Schizosaccharomyces pombe: one gene and its partners. The protein of the gene in region 1 purifies or fractionates together with the protein of each later gene. This does not show direct contact. Each region holds a gene or a part of one and is shown in the gene's direction. Other genes may lie near its edges. The genes, in order: brr2, prp17, gih35 and lea1.

Evidence for each region.
Region 2: the proteins of brr2 (region 1) and prp17 purify together in Schizosaccharomyces pombe (affinity purification with mass spectrometry; 2 studies listed by BioGRID). This does not show direct contact.
Region 3: the proteins of brr2 (region 1) and gih35 purify together in Schizosaccharomyces pombe (affinity purification with mass spectrometry; 2 studies listed by BioGRID). This does not show direct contact.
Region 4: the proteins of brr2 (region 1) and lea1 purify together in Schizosaccharomyces pombe (affinity purification with mass spectrometry; 2 studies listed by BioGRID, with this or other methods). This does not show direct contact.

The regions. Positions count from the first base shown.
Region 1 is NC_003424.3:1,459,272-1,467,199, reverse strand, and holds the start of brr2 (U5 snRNP complex subunit Brr2), read left to right. Parts: upstream 1-1,920; 5' UTR 1,921-1,940; coding exon 1,941-7,928. Other genes in the region: Tf2-1 (retrotransposable element/transposon Tf2-type), read right to left, coding at 1-1,353. UniProt on the Schizosaccharomyces pombe protein: Involved in pre-mRNA splicing. May be involved in endoplasmic reticulum-associated protein degradation (ERAD) and required for growth at low and high temperatures. Required for pre-spliceosome formation, which is the first step of pre-mRNA splicing.
Region 2 is NC_003423.3:2,649,969-2,655,533, forward strand, and holds the start of prp17 (Prp19 complex WD repeat protein Prp17), read left to right. Parts: upstream 1-1,625; 5' UTR 1,626-1,677; coding exon 1,678-1,788; exon of another isoform or gene 1,789-1,829; coding exon 1,830-2,594; exon of another isoform or gene 2,595-2,633; coding exon 2,634-3,249; exon of another isoform or gene 3,250-3,292; coding exon 3,293-3,340; exon of another isoform or gene 3,341-3,379; coding exon 3,380-3,516; 3' UTR 3,517-3,576; coding exon of another isoform or gene 3,577-5,565. Other genes in the region: Mre11 complex BRCT domain subunit Nbs1, read right to left, coding at 1-255, 298-377, 417-565, 670-758, 797-850, 910-946; 1-phosphatidylinositol-3-phosphate 5-kinase Fab1, read right to left, coding at 3,577-5,565.
Region 3 is NC_003424.3:2,124,196-2,128,877, forward strand, and holds gih35 (ATP-dependent RNA helicase), read left to right. Parts: upstream 1-1,861; 5' UTR 1,862-1,871; coding exon 1,872-1,962; intron 1,963-2,005; coding exon 2,006-2,083; intron 2,084-2,131; coding exon 2,132-2,196; intron 2,197-2,244; coding exon 2,245-2,501; intron 2,502-2,537; coding exon 2,538-3,309; exon of another isoform or gene 3,310-3,355; coding exon 3,356-3,457; exon of another isoform or gene 3,458-3,505; coding exon 3,506-3,674; exon of another isoform or gene 3,675-3,716; coding exon 3,717-4,037; exon of another isoform or gene 4,038-4,075; coding exon 4,076-4,164; downstream 4,165-4,682. Other genes in the region: rad57 (DNA recombination mediator, RecA family ATPase Rad57/Rhp57), read left to right, coding at 1-254; whi2 (phosphatase activator), read left to right, coding at 797-1,609; ufd2 (ubiquitin-protein ligase E4), read left to right, coding at 4,268-4,285, 4,328-4,682.
Region 4 is NC_003423.3:4,144,785-4,148,017, reverse strand, and holds lea1 (U2 snRNP-associated protein Lea1), read left to right. Parts: upstream 1-1,747; 5' UTR 1,748-1,954; coding exon 1,955-2,035; intron 2,036-2,096; coding exon 2,097-2,729; 3' UTR 2,730-2,733; downstream 2,734-3,233. Other genes in the region: serine/threonine protein kinase Ppk22, read right to left, coding at 1-362; elc1 (elongin C), read right to left, coding at 2,920-2,924, 2,963-3,096, 3,140-3,188, 3,229-3,233.

The DNA.
Region 1 (7,928 bases):
TGGACAGGCGTTAATGGCTTTAGATTCTCGTATAATTCCACTTTTTAATCCTTGATTAATTTCATCATTCATAGCTTGCATTTTTCCCGGTGGTAGCGGGTAATTTCTGATAGGTAATCTGTAGTTTTCTTGAGTTAGTTCAACTTCAAATTCTAACCCTTTTATTGGCTTTGGTAGCTTTTCCGTATTGGTTTCTGCAGTAATGTCTTTGAATTCTTTATAGATATCTGGTAACTCAGGTTCCTTGACAATATTTGAAACTTTGTTCATTTGAGAGAGCGTGTGTTTACTGCTAGATATTTCAATGTTATTGTCATATAATGTTGTGAAGGAGATAGCAGCTGGATGCGAAAATTTCTTTACAACCAAGAATTCTGTTTTGATTGATATTCCATTTAGACTTATGTTAAGTTTTATTGTTTTGCGATTAATCTTATTTGGATAAACTCCACCATATATCACACTTTTTGACCAGGGTCTGGTAGGCAGTTTATGTGCTCGAACAGTTTCTTCTGTTATAATATTTGCTTGAGCGCCCGTATCGATTAGACAGGGTATTGAGCACTTGAAGTCTGGAAGTTCAGCTTGTAATACCATTTCGTAACGTTTCCTAGTATGATTTAGGAATTTGTTAGATGAGTATTCTATTCTCGAAACATTTGTCTTCCTCAGGTTTCTGCTATTAGTGGTGTTATTTTTCTTTGAAAGGGACTCTTTTCCTAGATTTTTATTTTGCAGTTGAAAACGCTTGTGAGTTTTACCATACGAGGCTGTTCTTTTGTCCTCTAAAAAGTCATAAATTTCACTGATTTCTGATTTCCAGTAATTTCTTTCCTTTAATTTCCTTAAGGAATATGGCAGCATCCATAATATAAACAAGCGAGTATGGAAATCATCAACATTTGCTTTTGACATGAGTTTCCTTATAAATTGAACTTTGTCCAATTGATTTCTAAAACCTTCAAATGTTTTAGTTAAACGATCACCTTTGTTGGATCCTTGTACTTTCCCTGTTTGTCTGAGTAATTCTTGCCATGTAAGACTTCCATTCTCAGAAAACATGCGTTCAGCGAATTGTTGCTCTAATTCTTCTAGGTGATTCAATGTATACTGTCTTTTAGTATGCTCATTTGGGAATAATGAAGGGTATTCAGTAAAGTGTTGATCAAGTTTTGAAATGTAACTTTCAACATCCTTATTAGGATCGAATTTCCCTATCTCTGGTACATGCTTCGATAATATTTTTGCAAAAAGGTTTATTAAATGTTCGTCTGATGTTTGAATTCCATCCAAATTCTCTGGTCTCCATCGTTTTGCTCTTGCTTTCATATAACGATAATTTGCGTAGGACATTGTATATGTTTCCCTTTGGGAGATTTCAAAAGGGATAACAGTCCTTCCAAAGTTCTTTCTCCTTTGAACCCAGAAGGAGAGAAATATATATATTTATGATATATATTTATTCAATAATTCCTTTTTCCTAAAAGGAGTTAATTGTAGATCACAAGAGTTCAGTTATTGTAAGCTACGCAGTTTGGTATCTGATTTAAGGATACGTAGAACTGCGGTGAGCTTTCCTTGTGATCTATTATATTACAATACACAGGTTGTATAAGTAGCAACTGAGTATAGGTATTGTATTAACTGGGTTATAATGTTACCTATCACTAATATAGCTCATAACTGAACTGAGGAACGAGGTTCAGCAGTAGCTCTATTTATAGTATTCAGATAATATTGATCTTAATAGATTATCATTAAGATCAATCTCCATATCGTATCATACATGGTACGATATATAATTAGAACATGTGACATATAGTGATACTCAACGTAGTGTATTATAGCGTAGTGTAGTATTGCTGACAGAAATGAACACTTCTAATACCTCGAAGTAGACGAAAATTGAAAATTCAGTTTATCCTCCGCCACTCACAATCATGTCGAGTGCACATCCTAAAGGGGACTCGAAAGAGCCTCCCAAACATGGAAATAGTAAGGAGAAGCCAAACTATGGTCAATCACAGTATAGTTATTCTGCAATGTCAAATTTGGTTACGCAGGCTGATCGAAGATTTGTGTCACGACGTGATGCTGAACCTACAGGCGAACCGGAATCTCTGGTAAATCGAGTTAGTATTGCAGATATGGGTTCTAGAGCGAGAATTGAAAAACCTAGTACCCTTCCTCTCGAATTGACGCAGGAAGTTCAGGAGGTCCGGTTACCTCGTAAAGATGCAGAATCCTTAGAAATTGGTATACGGCAACCTGAACGCGAAAAGCGCTCTTCAGCGATACTTAAATATTTTGATTCTTTTGAAATTTTGAAATATAATCCTCTAACCGACGAGACCCGAGAAGTTTATGATTATATCTTGAGTTTCATTCAACAATACCTTGGCGATCAGTCTCCTGAAATCCTCCGTTCTGCTGCTGATTTGATTATTGAACTTCTTAAGGATAGTTCTTTAGATGAACAAGGTCGTAAAAAGCAAATAGAGGAGGTTTTGAGTACTGAACTCCCACAGGATCGGTTTTCACAGCTCGTTAACTTGGGAAATCGCTTAACAGATTATACAGTTGAGCAAGAAGAAGAGTTAAATGAAGAAGGCGTTAATGAATCTGGCGTACCAGTATTGTTCAATGAAGCCGATGAAGAGGAAGAAGCTGTTGAGGCAATGGAAGAGGATGAAGTGGCAGAAGATGAAGACGTCGTCTTAGAAACTTCCATATCTCAAGAAGAAGAGAAAAAGAATATTGAAAATCCGGATACAGAGGTTACATTTATTTCTGCTGATACCAAAAAAGTTACCGAAATACCCACTGTTCATCCTCGTGAAATCGATGCATTTTGGCTGCAACGAGAAATAGCAAAATATTTTGCTGACGCCGTCGTTTGTCAGGAAAAAACAAATCAAGCGTTTGAGGCACTTTCGGCTGATTACGATCTCGGTGAATTGGAAAATGAATTGATGAGTATTTTTGATTATGAACATTTCTATCTTGTTCAACTTTTGACTAAGAATCGTTGGACAATAGTTTCGTGTACAATGTTAAAACGCGCCGCTACTGATGAAGAACGCTTAGGTGTGGAAGAGCAAATTCGTGCTGCTGGTCGGTCTTGGATTCTCGAAGCTCTACGCCCTGGTGCTATCACTATACCTGATGACGGTTTAAATGAATTAAATAATAATGTTGTTGAGAAAGCTGAACCTGCGCCCGTTTCTGAAATTCCACTTTCGAAAACTTTGACTTCCCATAAAATTGTACCTAAGCACCAAGTTGATCTAGAAAATTATGTGTTTACTGAGGGATCACGTCTCATGTCTAATAAAGCTGTCAAGCTACCTGAAGGCTCGTTTCGTAGGACTGGTAAAGGGTATGAAGAAATACATGTTCCTGCCCCCAACAAAGCCGTACTTGGCGCTGACGAGCGTCTTGTAAAAATCAAGGAACTGCCTGAATGGTCTCATCAAGCTTTTCTTAATACTCAATCTTTAAACCGAATCCAAAGCCATCTTTATCCTATCGCTTTTGGTACTGACGAAAACATCCTTTTATGCGCTCCTACTGGTGCTGGAAAAACAAATGTAGCAATGCTATGTATCCTTAACGAATTACAAAAACATTTACGTGAAGATCTTAGCTTTAACTTACAAAATTTTAAAATTGTTTACATTGCTCCCTTGAAGGCGTTGGTACAAGAGATGGTTAATAATTTCTCAAAGAGGCTTACTCCATACAATATTCGAGTCGCAGAGTTAACTGGTGATAGTCAATTGACTAAACAACAAATTAGTGAAACTCAAATAATTGTAACCACACCCGAGAAGTGGGATATTATAACTCGAAAAGCTAATGATTTATCTTATGTCAATCTAGTCCGTTTAGTTATTATTGATGAGGTTCATTTGCTTCATGATGAACGAGGTCCTGTATTAGAATCTATAGTTGCTCGTATATTTCGCCATCAGGAGGAAACTCTTGAACAAGTTCGATTAGTAGGTTTGTCTGCTACACTTCCTAATTATACCGATGTTGCCAGTTTTTTACATGTCGACCCTAAAAAAGGGCTTTTTTACTTCGATTCGACATATCGTCCATGCCCTTTAAAGCAAGAATTTATAGGCATTACAGAAAAAACACCGTTTAAACGAATGCAGACGACTAATGAAGCTTGTTATGAAAAAGTTATGCAACACGCTGGCAAAAACCAGGTCCTCATATTTGTACATTCGCGCAAAGAAACCGCTAAAACCGCTCGTTTTATAAGAGATAAGGCACTAGAGGAAGAGACCATCGGTCATTTGTTACGCTCTGATGCCGCATCCCGTGAAATTCTTCGGGCTGAAGCCGACTCTACCAGTGATGAAAATTTGAAAGATTTGCTCCCATATGGGTTTGCCATACATCATGCTGGTATGCGACGAGAGGATCGCCAAACGTCTGAAGACCTTTTTGCCGATGGTACTATACAGGTACTAGTGAGTACGGCAACTCTGGCTTGGGGCGTAAACTTACCAGCGCACACAGTGATCATCAAAGGGACCCAAGTTTATTCTCCTGAAAAGGGTATCTGGACAGAACTCTCTCCTCAGGATGTTTTGCAAATGCTTGGCAGAGCTGGTCGCCCACAATTCGACACATATGGTGAAGGAATTATCATTACCGCCCACTCTGAGTTACAGTATTATCTATCACTAATGAATCAGCAGCTTCCAATTGAGTCTCAATTTATGCGCCGTCTAGCTGATTGTTTAAATGCCGAAGTATCGTTAGGAACTGTTCGTAGTATCGAAGATGGCGTAGACTGGCTTGGTTATACATACCTCTATGTTCGAATGTTACGATCCCCTGCCCTATATAGCGTCGGCCCAGAGTATGATGATGACAAATATCTTGTTCAAAAAAGAGCTGACTTACTTCATTCAGCTGCCATTTTATTAGAAAAATGCAAGTTACTAGTGTATAATCGTCAGAGTGGTACGTTGACCGCTACGGAATTGGGAAAAGTTGCTGCAAGTTATTACGTTACTCATAACTCGATGGCCATATATAATCGTCTTTTAATGCAGACAACATCCTTTATCGAGTTATTTCGAGTCTTCAGTTTTTCTGATGAATTTAAGCACATTCCTGTCCGTGAAGAAGAGAAAGTTGAACTCGCGAAGTTGCTGGAAAGAGTACCAATTCCTATTAGGGAAAGATTAGATGAACCTGCTGCCAAGATTAATGCCCTTCTCCAATCATATATATCAAGACAACGCCTGGATGGATTTGCACTTGTGGCAGACATGGTATACGTTACGCAATCAGCGGGTAGAATTATGCGTGCAATATTCGAGATATCATTGAGACGTGGTTGGTCATCTGTTGCAACACTCTCTCTTGATACATGCAAAATGATTGAGAAAAGGCTTTGGCCAACTATGAGCCCCCTTCGACAGTTTCCCAATTGTCCTTCTGAAGTAATACGCCGCGTTGAGAAAAAGGAATTTCCTTGGCAGCGATACTTTGATCTGGACCCTGCTGAATTAGGAGAATTAGTAGGGGTGCCAAAAGAAGGGAGGCGTGTGTACAACATGGTTCAGTCTTTTCCAAGGTTGAGCGTCGAAGCACATGTTCAACCTATCACAAGATCGCTTGTGCGGGTCGAACTTGTTATAAATTCTCAGTTCAACTGGGATGATCATTTAAGCGGCACTTCTGAAGCTTTTTGGATCCTTGTAGAAGACGTGGACGGGGACCGATTGCTACATTATGAACAATTTTTCCTTCTTAAAAAATACAAAGATGATGAGCATATTGTAAATTTTACAGTACCTTTGTTAGAACCTCTTCCTCCTTGTTACTTTATAAAGATAGTTTCAGATCGATGGTTACACTCGATAACTAAGGTACCTCTTTCATTTCAGCGCCTGATAATGCCAGAAAAATTTCCTGCGCCAACACCTCTTCTTGATCTTCAGAACGCCCCGGTCTCTAGTCTTAATAACCCAAGCTTCATTTCCCTCTACCCTAATTTTAAATTTTTTAACAAGATTCAAACACAGGTGTTTAACTCTGTTTATAAAACCAACGATAGTGTTTTTATTGGTGCTCCCAATGGAAGTGGAAAGACTGTTTGTGCCGAACTTGCTTTGTTACATCATTGGAGTCAAGAAGATTATGGTACTGCAGTTTACATTGCCCCAATTCAGGAAATCGTTGATCGTCGATATGAAGAATGGTATGGCAAGTTTTCTGACCTCGGTGATGGGAAAGTTTTGGTAAAATTGACGGGTGAGCGTTCACAAGACTTGAAGCTGATACAAGTTGCTGACTTGATATTTTGCACGCCATCGCAATGGGACTCATTGTCGAAGAGATGGAGAAGTATGCGAAGCATTCAGAAAGTTGATTTTTATATATGTGATGAATTACAATTGCTTGGTGGATTTTATGGTCCATTATACGAAATAGTGATCTCACGGATACGGTACATGGCAGTACAATTAGAAAAAAATATCCGAGTGGTTGGCCTTTCAGTATCTGTTGCTAATGCTCGAGATTTGGGTGAGTGGCTTGGGACTAGTCCACAATGCATATTTAATTTTAGTCCTAAAGACAGGCCTAATCCTCTTACTATTCATTTGCAATCATTCAGTATTACTCATTTCCCTTCCCTTATGTTGGCTATGAGCAAGCCTATATATCGCAGCTTGAAGAACTTTATTTCTCAGAGAAAGTCTACTATTGTATTTACTCCTGACAGGAAAGTAGCGAAACAATTAGCTTTTGATTTAGTTACATTCAGTATGGCTGATGAAGATGAGTATTTGTTTTCGTTAATGGAGAATGAAGCTTTCAATAAAGTTGAAGATGCTGCCTTGCAGCAATCATTGAAGCATGGTATTGCTTATATTAGTGAAATCACATCGTCCAATGATCAGAATATTGTACAATATCTTTACCGTCATGGACTTATCAAGGTTTTGATAGCTTCTCGCGATGTTATTTATTCCTTAAAAGCAAAATCAAACGCTGTTATTGTGATGGGTACTCAATACTATGATGGCAAAGAACATCGTTATATTGATTATCCTATAAGTGAGTTATTACAAATGCTCGGGTTTACTGCTAGCATTGGATCAAGTGAGCTTAGCCAGGTTATTCTTATGACTGTCACTACTAAGAAGGAATATTACAAGAAATTTTTAAATGAGCCATTACCCATGGAAAGCCATCTTCAAGTTTGGCTGCACGATGCTTTCGTGTCAGAAATATCTACGCAAACCATTGAAAGCAAACAAGATGCTGTAGATTGGCTTACATGGTCGTATATGTACCGGAGACTAGTTGCCAATCCTGCCTATTATGGTCTTCAAGATATCACTCATGAGTCGGTTTCTGAATTCCTTTCGGATCTTGTAGAAACAACCATGAATGATTTGAGTGAGGCACGCTTAATCACTGTAGACGATGAGGATGATAGTTGTGTCGCATTAAATTTAGCAATGATAGCTTCTCATTACGGAATTACATACATTACTATGCAAACGTTTGCTTTGAGCTTGTCAGAGCGCACGAAGATGAAGGGATTACTAGAAATTGTTACATCAGCAGCAGAATATGAGCAACTCCCAATTCGAAAGTATGAAGATATTGTGCTGGAGCGAATTCATTCCCGCCTGCCTGTTCGCTTAAGTAATCCTAACTATGAAGATCCTCATACGAAATCATTTATTCTTCTTGCAGCTCATTTTTCTAGATTTGAATTGCCTCCTGGTTTAGTTATAGATCAGAAATTCATTTTGACTAGGGTACATAATCTTCTGGGCGCTTGTGTTGATACATTGTCTTCCGAAGGCCATTTAATAGCTTGTATTAGACCAATGGAGATGTCGCAAATGGTTACGCAAGCTTTATGGGATCGTGATAGTCCTTTA
Region 2 (5,565 bases), on another chromosome or scaffold:
AGTCTTCAGGAGATGACGGGAATTGATCGTTGTTCTTTATGATATTTTTAAAACATTCAAGCGCATCTGGCATTAGGCTGGCGTCTTCAATTACGGATTCTTTAACAGTTGATAGGTACTGAAGATAGCTATCATCTATAATTACAGTTTTTTTAAGAAAAGCATACATAGTTCCAACAGTTATACTGGACCCAGCTTGTCTGTTCATAACAAAGTGGGTAGTAGCATCGCTATCGCGTAGTCCAGTCGGTATACCTGAAAGTTGATAAGAAGTGAAAAAAAAAAAGACCGAAGTACCTAAGAGGTTTAAATTTGAAGCCCACTGGGATAACATTTCAGGGTTATCGAATTGTATACACATACTTCTCCAGTATGCACTTAAAGTTAGTAAATCATATATAGTCGATAAAACTTACTTTATCGTGAATGGACATTTACCCAGTTGTATTTTAAGATCTTTTTCTTTGTAAGAATCACCATTTTGACCAACAACTTTTTCATTAACCTTGGTTCCAAACTTCGTATCGAGGTCCTTTACTTCAAACTCGCATGGGCCACCGGTAAACTGTGCACATATTAGCTGGCATTGATTTAAAATATAAGAAAGATAAACATATAATAGAAATGAAAAATGAAAAGCTCAATATTTCCATTTAATTGGATACGTACGTAGTCTTTCTCACTTGGGGTCAAAATCGTAAAACGAGCATGGCGTTTACTAATTGATTTAGAAATCACTTGAATGTGGGACGAATCGTCTGCAATATTAGAAAATTAACAAAAATAAGAAACTTACCAGATACATTTCGACCTACAATATAAGTTCCTGGAAATAGTATCCGTGATTTTCCTGCTGTTTAGTACGTACAATACGGCCATAATGAAATTGATATAGCTAGTAAGAGATACCTTTTAGAATGTCACCCTCAGCCTCAATTATCCACATTTTTTCAACATAAAATTCTTTTTATTGAAAAAATTCAGAAACCAGAATGCTGTTTTCACAACTGAGGATGCATAGGTGCGTCGCTTTTAATTTTAGTACAATTGAAAGTAACAAAGTAACCCTTTATGATGTCCAAAAGCCCTTCGTTAAATTAGAAGCTAAATCTACTAAACCAATTCTTGAATTTGAATTGACAAAGCTTGCTTTTCAAAGCTTTCTTCAAGAAAAAGTTTAATCAACAAAAACTCTTAAAAAATTTATAATTTCAAAAAATTAGACTTACACAGGTTCTCTGTCCTAGCCTTGCAAACACAAAAAATACTGTGAGTACACTAGAAAATGAATTTACTAAAGGGGTAAACTATCGTACCAAAATGAAATTTTTAAAGTCATGAGCTTATGTGAGCAAACAAACTTCAATTAAATACTATTTATCATACGTCGTGTATATGCACTACTGGATAACTTCTTTTACAGTTTAAAAAAGTCCATGCCTCTTTAAATAACTAACTTTATTTCTAGTTTTTACTACATTCCTTTATTTTTTAATCAATGAATTATCTATTACCTATCCTAATAAGCAGAAGTATGAGTTAGCTGTAGTGTTTCATTTTCGCTAATTGATATTAGCCAGGAATCTCTCATCCTCGCTAAACCTCCCTACAGCTTAATCTTCCTTAAACCATTACCATACGAATTTGCTGGTTTCATATTCGCCGTTTGCAATTTCTATGTTGGTTGCAAACTATTCTAGTGATTCAGAAGAACAGGAGAATTCCCAATCGCCTAACATCCAACCTCTTCTGCATACTGAAAATTTAGCGCCAGCTGTGGTTGATAACGTATTTATCAAATGTTTTTTATAACATGCTAATCATTTTAGGTAAAGGATGATTTAATTGTTTCAAAGGGAGGAAACTCTAGAGAATTAGCGCGTAATGTCCCGGTTAATGAAATGGTGCAGCCTGCTTTAGGGCCTGCAAATCCATTTGTCACTAAAGAACAGGATTCTATAAAGAACAGTATTACCGGTTATGCTGAGAGGGAATATGTTCCAAATTTTGTATTTAATCAAGAATATTATGCTAATACACATGCTATTTATGGAAAACGAAATTTTGATGATAACGAAGCTACTACTTCTACAGATTTAAAAAGGAAGTCCCAGAAAATAAAAGAACGTAGAGAGGATCCTGGCGATCCATCTATCCTTGAAGGGGATGGTGCTTATAAGGGGCCATGGGCCGGATACGGTTCTGAACAATCCTCTTCACCTTTGGAGTACAGTGAATATGAAGAGGTTGAATCCCTGGATGTCAAAAGTGAAAAGGATACGGAATCTAATAACCTGGGTCAAAATGAATTATTGAAGGAACAATTAGCTACTCCAGAAGTTGAAACTCATCGCTCTAAAGAAGAGACTATACTTCATAAAGATAGATTATTTGATTATCAAAATAGAAGCTATATGCATGTCCCGAATGACGTCGGAATAAATTTATCGGAAGAGCCTGGTGAACAAACTTGTTACATTCCAAAGAAGCATATATTCACTTGGAAAGGTCATACGAAAGGTATTTCCTGCCTTAGGTTTTTTCCGATTAGTGGCCATTTACTTCTTTCTGGCTCAATGGATAATCAGATAAAGGTATGTTTGTAAGCAAAAAGATGATAAACTAATATTTAGATTTGGGAAGTTTACCATGACCGTTCTTTGCTTCGTACATTCCAAGGACACGCTCGTCCTATCCGCGATTTATCATTTAGCCAAGATGGACGATCATTCTTAAGTACTAGTTTTGATAAAACAATTAAACTCTGGGATACCGAATTAGGGAAATGTTTGAACTGCTTTAATTCAGATAGATTAACAAACTGCGTCAAATTCCAAGTAGATCCTGATAAACCCAACGAGTTTTTAGCAGGAACAGCTGACAAAAGGATCCTTCAATTTGATATCAGAAGTCCTGATATTGTTCAAGCATACGATCATCATCTCGGCGGAATCAATTCCATAACATTCCTTGAAAACGGAAAGCGCTTCGTTACCACATCTGATGACTCTTCAATGCGATTTTGGGAATACGGAACTCCAGTTCCTATAAAATTTGTGGCTGACATTGCAATGCATTCAATGCCTCGGGTTGCCTTACGGCCAAATGGAAAGTCGATAGCATGTCAATCTCTAGATAACTGCATTTACGTATATTCGGCATACGAGAAATATAGACAAAACAAAAAGAAGGTCTTTAAGGGATACAGTTGTTCAGGTTATAGCCTAGAAGTTGGATTTTCACCTGATGGTATGGCGTTCATTTTTTATTACGAATTTCTAACTAGTTTTAGGGAGATTTGTTTTTAGCGGAGATTCGAGCGGAAATGCCTGTTTCTGGGGTAAGTGCTTGGAATTGGAAAAACACCTAACATTTTTAGATTGGAAAACCTGTAAGCTAATGGCTAAACTCCCGGCTCATAGTGGACCCGTACAAAGCATGGCGTTCCACCCTCAAGAAACAAGCAAGGTAGCTACATCATCTATAGTTGATGGGTCTATCAAATACTGGGATTAAAAAGATTGTTCATATTTCTTGACCAAACAGCGAAATATATACATTAAACTAACGTTTCTTCTATTCGCAAAACTTAAAACCTTCCCCAGTCTCAAAATCCTGAGATGCTAAAATATAGCAATCCATAGCCTTTCGGAATCTATTTTTGTATTGCTTTGGAGTAACAATTGTTGGTTCAGGACCTCTACCAACTAAGCCTTTCTCCTTTACCCAACTTTCAAGTTTTTTGTCCCAAGTGTATGTTCGTATGAAATCAATTATTCCAACATAAAGTTCTTTTTTTGTATAATCAATACCAACAATTAAAGAGTAATCCATGATATTGAGTTTTGAGAGGAACAATGTATCATTCCAAAGGCAAGAATGCAAAAGACTTTTTAGTTGTTCACTAACAAATATTGGAGATTCGTAAATAAGTTCAACCAAATTTTCATCAAGCAATACTTCATCTACCTTCCCTGTAGATTCTACATGTCGATTCCTCATGGAACCTTTAAGATCAAATATTCTAGACGGACATTCATCATAAAATACATTTTCCATAATCATTATATCAGTCTTACAGATTGTACCAGTAGTAGGATTTCGAATGTCTACGCGGTAAAATCCAAAGATTTTAGTCAATGCAGTTGGCAACTCGTGAAAGAAAACTTTAGATATGTAATCAAAATAAGCTGGAGCAAAATTAAGCAAGGAGTCACTTTCCAACCTTGACAGAACTTTGAGAATGTATTTCTTATCGAAAGTTTTTAAAAATGCTGATCCAGATTTTCCACCGCTAGATTCCCAAAGAGAACATCTCGCTAGAGATGTCACAAACGTCTCCTCACAGCCACAAGCTCTTCGCAAAGCACTAAATTGTTCCGCGAAAAAGACCTTACAGGATAGTCTTGCTGATCCTTCTTCAAACTGGTATTTCAAATGCGTCCCCGTTGGTTTGAGCATTAAGTTTTCAATTTTGAATTGCGTCGAGCCTTGTAAGCCTTGATTGGTTAAAGCTTCGTCCATGCTATCTTCAATTTCTACCATTTTTGATAAATAGTCAGGAGAGCTAAGAGTAAAACTTATCAAGGAGCTAGGTTCGTCTTCCCTTATGATCACATTTGAGTCGGAAAACATATGCTCTGTAGGTTGTAGAGGAAATTCAAAAGGTGGAGGATTGAGGGAGTTCCATTCATTCCAAAATGCAGATAAAATCCTGTAAACTGAAGTTTTGTCAGCCAAAGGACCAGAAGTTGGCAACTTTGATCCCTCTTTATCCATTTGACTAGAAGGTTCAAGGTTTTGCTGTTCTTCGAGGCCAGATTCATTTTTGAAAAGAATTCCAAAAATATCTTCAAACGCTTCAGGTGAATTGTCTTCATTCGAAGAAACATTTTCTCGCTCCTTGCTCATAGAATCAACTCCAGAAAAATTGCTTTCGGTAGCGCGATTTTCTTTTGTGTCATTAATGCCATTCTCATCTTCGGAATTTTCATCATCAAATGCTTCATTAAGGTCATTAAATACTTCTACTACCGGCTTAGATGGGACTACAGGAAGAGCCCGCTTGCGTCGAGCCTTTATTAATTCTTCATCTCGTTTTTGCTTTTCTTGTAATTGTAAACTTAGCTCTTCAAATCTACGCACTAAAGAGCTAACCCGCACATCTTTTGCTGGAATGGGCTTCCTGGGTGAGTATTTTGTAGAATTCTGTATACTGGAAATTTTTGCAGATATTGAAGAAGAAATAGGCATGTTCATCCCACTTGTTGAAGATGCATTGACAAATCGCCTGTCACTGGTACTAGCACTTTTCCGCTTATGAGAAAGCATATTAACGCCTTGTCTTTGGCTTATATTTGGATACGTTTGTCTACTGAAACCTGAATTTGAGACCGGAGAAGCTGGAAAAGTGTTCTGAGTAGAAATATCATTGGTAAAATCGATGTTGGCTTTAGGAATATCGGAAGATGTTGCTACTGAAAAGCAATCAGATTCTGGAGAACCAACATTTGCCATACTATCTGCATACGGAGCAACACGCTTGTTTGAAGCAACATTAGTTTG
Region 3 (4,682 bases), 660 kb from region 1:
ATGCTATTGGGTTGTTTAGTTTAGATTATCAATCGCAATGGTTTTCGGGATGGGATGACACAGATCCAAATCCCAAAATACCATCTCTTGGTCTCGTTTGGACTAATAACATCAGTACGAGATTAGCATTAATTAAGAAAACCGACTCTGCCACCAATAATTCGGGGAGAATCTTTCGGGTTGTTTATTCACCAAATTCTCCAAGGCTTGACGTACGAATATGCATAGGATCGGTTGGGATATATTCGTGCTAGCATTTTTGTAAAAATTTTATATATAATATAATAAAACCGGTTTATGAATTGCCCTAACTTTGTTTAATCGACTGTCGCTTATCAATCATTCGCAGAAAGAAAAGTAATGCTTTGAGTAACTGTTACATATATAAGTGTACTTATTTATCTTTATATTTATATTACCTCTGTCACTATTAAATATATATTTTGTTGATCTATGATGGTAGTGCATTTTTATTAGAATCCGACATACTTTAGTGGACTGAATTTTGGATATACCAGTTGGGTATTGAAATGGAAAAAAATACAATAAAAAGTTTTACACGTAACAAAGAATGCCCAAAGAGCTCTCTTAACCGACGAATGGCTTTTTCTACCTGTTTTTACTATTGCGCGTAAAAGATTTTGTAAGACCTTTCCGATAGCTTCCGCTATTGGCGATCCTTTAGAAATTTGCACCTAACATTTTTACCAAAAGCCAAGTATGCATTGGTGATATCTTGTAAATAAAAAATGAACATTCTTTTATAACATAATCGTTACAAAAATAGAACACAAAAATGTCAGTTCCAATTGATCGAATCAATACGGTTGACACTTTAGCCAATACACTGGAAAGTAATTTAAAGTTTTTTCCAGAAAAAATACATTTCAACATCCGGGGCAAACTAATAGTCATTGATCGCGTTGAACTTCCAATATTACCAACTACCGTGTTGGCACTTCTATTTCCTAATGGGTTTCATCTGCTTTTAAAACATGAGGGAGGTGATGTCTCATCATGTTTCAAATGCCACAAAATCGACCCTTCCATTTGTAAATGGATTTTGGACACCTATCTACCATTATTTAAAAAAAGTAATAATGCTTATCCCTCAAAAATTGCATTTAATCCTATATCGAATACTACCCTCGTTTTATTCTTAACAGAATGTTGCAATATCTATTTATTTTCTGAAAATAAAAAGCCCGTCGACCAAAAAATCAGGAGCGACTTATTAGAGCAAACTTTCAAGAACAACGACGTTTTTGAAAGTGCAGACAAAAAAAAAATCCGAAAAGGGCTGAGTGATGGACCGCTAGTTGATGCATTACAGCATTGTGGATTTCGCTACAACGATAAATGGGCCAAGAGAGTAAAGGAGCCAAAATTAATGAGCTTAATGTCGTATATCATAACAACAGTCGAGAGCTCCTCATTAAGCGAAGAATTTTTGAGTAAAATTTTGAAGCTATGGGGACAGCCAGGTAATAAGTGCTGGTGGATAAACGAAGTTATAAAAGTAAACGGATCTTTAATCAATGTTTGGAGGAGAAAGCAGTGGTTGTTGGAAGTTACGATTATGGGAAATCGTGAAAATTCTCAAGACTAAGTGTTTTAGTAAAAATAAGATTAAAAAACATTTTGCTAAGTTAGGCCGTGCATGCAGCCATTCTTTTAACAGATACCAATGTTACGAGGTTTCCCAGATTTTACTCAAATTGCGTGATAATTATTGTAGTATATTTATTTTGAATAATAATTTTTTATTTGAATTTTGTTAATACTGTTTTTTATAAATATTACAATACGTTCAATCTAGTTGTGGTAACATGAAAGTGCTTCCACTTACTTGATGCTCTCTACGCAAGAGTATGCCTAATGAGTTTATTTCCCAATCGCTTAGTACTCTTACAAATACACCCTTAAATATTCAGAAAAAGCTATTACCAATCACCAAATACAGTATGTAGCTGTTTTACCCTTACATTGCTGACGTTACATTTAGGAAACCAGTTGTTATATGCAGTAGAGCAAAATCAGATTACTATAGTGTTAGGCCACACAGGATGTGGTAAAACAACTCGTAAGTATTTTGATTAGATGGTTTATTAAACTAAAAATAATCTTGAAGAAATCCCTCAATTTTTATACGAAGCTGGATGGGCGTCCCAAAACGGTATTATAGGATGTACACAGGTTAGTCACAACTTTGTTTATTTATCATCCTCCTAACTTATTTGAAAGCCCAGAAGACTCGTAGCAAAGAGCGTCTCTGAACGAGTATCTTTGGAACTGAACTCTCCTCCTGGAAGTTTGTGTGGATATAGCATTCAATTTGATCATAACGTTTCTGAAAAAACAAAAATAAAATATATGACCGATGGAATCCTTTTGAATGAAATATTTTTTGATCCTTTGCTGGAAAGATATTCAATAGTCATTCTCGACGAAGTCCATGAACGAACTTTGTCGACAGATCTCCTACTAGGAGTTTTGAAAAGGTATTTAAATTTTCTATTCATAGCTGACAAATCAAGGATTTTAGAAAAGAGGAATGATTTTAGACTTGTGCTCTCCAGCGCTTCTGTTGACGCGAATAAACTGTCTCAGTTTTTCGGACAAGATAAAGTATGCACTATGTCAATTGAAGGGAAATTATTCCCCGTAGAAACATTATTTTTGCAGAAACCTACAGAAAATTACGTTGATTCTGCAATCGAAACGGTTATAAACATTAATTCAACCTATCCGCCTGGTGATATATTGGTTTTTCTTTCGGGAAGAAAAGAAATAGAATACTGTATAAAAAAGATTGAAGATTCCTTAATTCATGCTTCCGAAGACTGTCAAACTTTAGTTCCTTTACCTTTACATGCTGGTCTTACTGTTGACGAGCAAATGCGAGTTTTTAACATATATGATGGTGACTTCAGAAAAGTTATATTTTCTACGAATATTGCTGAGACTAGTATTACTATTGATGGCATAGTTTATGTCGTTGATTCAGGTTTTAATAAACAACGGATATACAACCCGTATACAAGGACTTCAAAATTGATTAACGTGCCTATATCTAAGTCAAGTGCTATACAGAGAAGTGGAAGAGCTGGAAGGACAATGAGGGGAAAGGTGTTCCGTCTATATACTGAAAAAGCTTACAGCTTGATGAAAGAAGAATTTGAAGCAGACATCTTAAATTGCGATATGTCACCGTTGGTGTTATTTTTGAAAGGTTTAGGGCTAAAAAACATACTTCAGTTTCCCTTTTTTGTCCGTCCTCCCACAGTTCACCTTATGGCGGCTCTAGAGGTTTGTGAATTTTATTATAGCCGGCAAACAACTAATTTTTTTGAAGGACCTCTATCTTTTAGGTGTCTTGGACGAAAGTGGAAATTTGACAGACCCACTTGGCATACAAATTTCCAACTCATTCTTGGATGCAAACATCTCCAAAGCTGTACGTACTCCCATATAGGAAATAAAGTACACGCTAACCCATCATTAGTTACTTACTTCCAACCAATTTGGTTGCACTCATGAAATTCTTTCAATTGCTTCAATACTTACAGCAGGCGAAGTATTTTATAATCCCACAAGTTCATCAAAGAATGATGCCTTCGTTGCCCATTCTTCTTTTTTTGCAAATGAAGGGGACATCATTACCGCATTAAATGGTATGCTTCATTAATAAAGTTTAAAAGTGTATTAACATTTAGTTTTTGAATCTTTTGTCGGTAACAAAAAAGATTTACAATGGTGCAGGAAAAATTATTTGAACTATCAAACTTTGCGCCAAGCCCTTGACATTCGCACTCATTTGGTTCGTTTTTTAAATAAATTTTCTATACCTACTGCTCAAAGATTACCATCCAGTGATTGTTCCAAAATTTTGAAATGCCTACTTGATGGTTTTGTGCGTAACGTCGCACATTTACAGAATGACGGCTCTTACAAAACAATAGGAGGAAAGCAGGTTTGGTTAGACTCTAGTAGTGTACTTCATGAAAAAAAAACACCATGGATCATGTATTCTTCAGGTAAGCCTATTTGTTATAAGACTATTTTAACGTTTTAGCTGTCGAATCAGAAACTCAAATATTCGTGAAGAATATTTCTAAAATAGAAAGTTTTTGGCTGGATAAATACTATAAACGAGAAAAATAATATATGTTAATACAATTTCATGTTACCGGTTTAGCATAGTAAGTTTTGGTAGTTAAAACATATGTTGACCTCACTTCCACCAACTTGCTCAATCCACCCCATTATGAGTGATTTGGAAAAGGTAAGAGAAAAATTTCAGCTAATTGCTAATATTGGCCCATAGATTCGTCTTAAAAGGCTTGCTAAATTGCAGCAGACCAATTCGGAGGCAAATTCTTCTAAAGAACCTAAGGAAAGCAATATTGCACCTGAACCTAAAAAACCTGATTTAAAAAAGAGATTTATTGGTTCAAAGGCTACAACATCAAATTCAGAACAAAAAGAAATATCTCCACCTGTTACATCTGGTGCTCCAAAACATCGCTTGTTTTCTAAGGATGAATGGATGCATTTTATAACATGTCAGGCTCTTAATATTACATTAAGTGAAACTGATTCATCAAAATACTATTTAGAAGGTTTTAAAAAAGATTTAGAAGAAGAGGGATCCCCTTTATTATTTAATGAGAATAATGTTG
Region 4 (3,233 bases), on another chromosome or scaffold:
TTTAAAATCTTGACCTGTGCCTTTCGAATATTGCTCATATTAATTAAAGGACGAGGAGGAGGCGCTTCTACTCCTTTGTGAGAATCAGGTGCGGAAGATACGCGTCTAAGGCTGGGACGACTATCCAATTGATCGCTACTATCATTCAGATCTAATTCATTCAATTGATTAACATTAATATCAAAGGTTGAGTCATCAGAATCATTATCCCTCTGATCATTTCGGACACTAGTAGAAACGGTTGCCGCTCGATTCCTACGAAAGTGAAACAAATTTTTCAGTTTATCTGAAAAGTGCGACTGGCTCATACCATCATCGGTGGAAGAGGGACTTTTGTCATTAAATTCAGTTTCTCGAGCCATTCTAAGTCATCCATTAATCTCGTAGCGCTTCAAACATTCACCGGTTAATAAATTTCGCTGACGGCTCACTTATAATACCTAATATAAATCAGAATGTAAGCAAACTTGAAAAACGACTTCAAAGCTCCCAAATAGTCTAATATAACTAGCCGAATGGTATTCCTCCTGCTTATATTAATTCTTGTTTCATTTGGAGGTGTCGGCAAAAGAATAGTTAGTGGAGCCACGGCCATCCTTATGTTATATAATCCTCTTTTTAAGCATATAGAAATAAACAGTCATATTGTAGCATTAACTAACAAGCAGCTTCAAAATACTTAGTTGAAGCTATTGTAAATAAAAGAAAAAACTTGTTTTTGGTTTTTATGTGTGGGTATTGATCTGTAGTTTTGTAGTAAATTCAGTTTGAATAATTCTTACTGGAACAGAATAAGTGTTAGAATAAATGCAGTGATTTTTAATTTCATATTCTCAAGAGTGACTGTATGATTTATAAGTACACGAGCTATGGAAGCACAACATTTAATCATGTATTTCTTCCACTTTCAACTACAAAAGAGGCTACTCTAAACCCAAACATTATCCGAAATGTCGATGTACATTTGTCGATATCGCTGGCATTTTCAATTAGTCCGACTCATGTGGTATTAGTATGAGGATGGATAGTTGATTCGATATTAGAAGCTGTCATATCAATTTAAATATAATTTCTTAGCAGTGCTTTCATTGAGATAGAGCAATACGATAGAAACAATCTGAAGAATTCATTAAAACTGTTACATTAAAAAACGACTTGATGTCAATATTGTTTTTGGAATGTTTTTCATTAAATGAGAAAACAAAAAGATATAGCAGTTTAGTAAGTATCTCAATGCAATTTTTTAATAGGAAAACAGGTTCCTTAAGCAACTCTGAATAATTGTAAATAACCTGGTTTCAAACTTTCGTTGGCGGTTTGTGCTCACGAAGTCAAATAGGGAGGCAGTATGAACATTATAGATGAGTTGAACTAAAACTTTGAGTGGAAAACAATGTGTGTTTCATCCAAATAGTCGATTGCTTGTGTTTGTTTTTGAGAGCTCAACAGATAAAAGAGTGTGTACCAATTTCTGACAAACTTAAGATATATATTTGACAACAATGAAAAAATGTTTTATTTAAAGGTGTCAAAACACACATATACAAAAATCATTTATTCTCTGTTTTCCCAAGAATTTTCTAGTACGAAAGCCGATTCTTGAACATGGAAGTCGTCAGTCAATTATCAAAGTATAATTACGCATAATTTGTTTTTTTTAAATCTAAAAAGTAGAAAAAGTGAGTATTTTTTGCTTATTGAGTCAAGATTTCTTTGTATTTATTTATGTGCTTACTATCCAAACTCTACCACTTTGCTTCTTCTCTTGACGTGTCATATTCTTGGTTTTTACATAATTAACTTTACATTATTAGATTCTAAAACGTTAACTATAACATTTTTTGAATAAACAATAGTGAAATTTAGGATTGTGAGCGTTTTGGATAATTTTTTAGGAATTTTAAATCATACTGCAGTAACAGCATAAAAAAGGCATTTTCATTACAAAAATTTCATGCGTCTTAATGCTGAATTTTTGTCTCAGGTACCCTCATTCATCAGTCCTTTGAAAGAAACTGAGCTTGATTTAAGATATGTTTAAAGAAATTACTGTATGCTACGTGTCATCCAGCTAACTCATAATTACAGGGTATCAGATTCCAATAATTGAAAATTTAGGAGTGTTAAGGGACGTACACGATGCAATTGATTTCACAGACAATGACATTCGATATTTAGGGAATTTCCCTCGTATGAAAAGGCTTCAAACGCTTTTGTGTGGAAATAACCGAATAACTGCTATAGCCCCAGACATAGGTAAAGTTCTTCCGAATTTAAAGACTTTATCCCTAGCACAAAATCATCTTCAAGAAATAGCAGATTTAGATCCGTTGGCTAGTTGTCCTCAACTCACTAATTTGTCGTGCATTGACAATCCAGTTGCTCAAAAACAATATTATAGATTATATCTTATATGGAGAATTCCTTCGTTACATATTTTAGATTTCGAACGGGTTAGAAGAAATGAAAGGCTTCGTGCTGAAGAAGTGTTTGGTCAAATTCAAAACCCTACAGAAATAGCTTCCTCTATTATGGGTGTGAAAAGTCGAGTATTTGATTTGGCTGCATTGGTACAAAGCCACCCAGAAGCGAATTCTCCTATTACAACTGGATATACACTTACACCTGAGGAAAGAGAAAAGATCAAAGAAGCCATTAAAAATGCCTCTTCCATTGCTGAGATAAATCGACTGGAAGCTATGCTATTAGAGGGGAAAATTCCAAAATAAAGTAACTCACAAGATTTCTAGAAACCGCATAGTTATATAATACATTTTTTCCATCTCATTTCTTGCATTCGATAGGTAACGCGTTTAATAGTTATTTAAGGCATCAAATCGTTAATCGTAAACAAAAACCGTCAATTCTTTAATGCTGTAGCAATTTAGCAATCCTTTCGTTCCTCGTGAGTAATCAGAATTATGCTGTATTCATTAGCTTTAAATAGTAATGATAATCTTACCTTCCAAATATTCCGCAGTGACCAATAATTCTAAAACCATCTCAGGTGGGATATCGAACTTTGGAATATCTAATTGATTTTTATATCTGTAATTGTAATGCAAATATTCACAAACTTTTTCCAACAGTGTTGCCCTAGACACCTTATTAGAATTGAATGAATAGACCAATTGCATACCGTATATCAGGAAATGTGCATTCATTTTTTTGCGCCTCAGAAAATATTCCTATACATTAGAATTACTTTACTAAATATCATTATCAAACCTTCG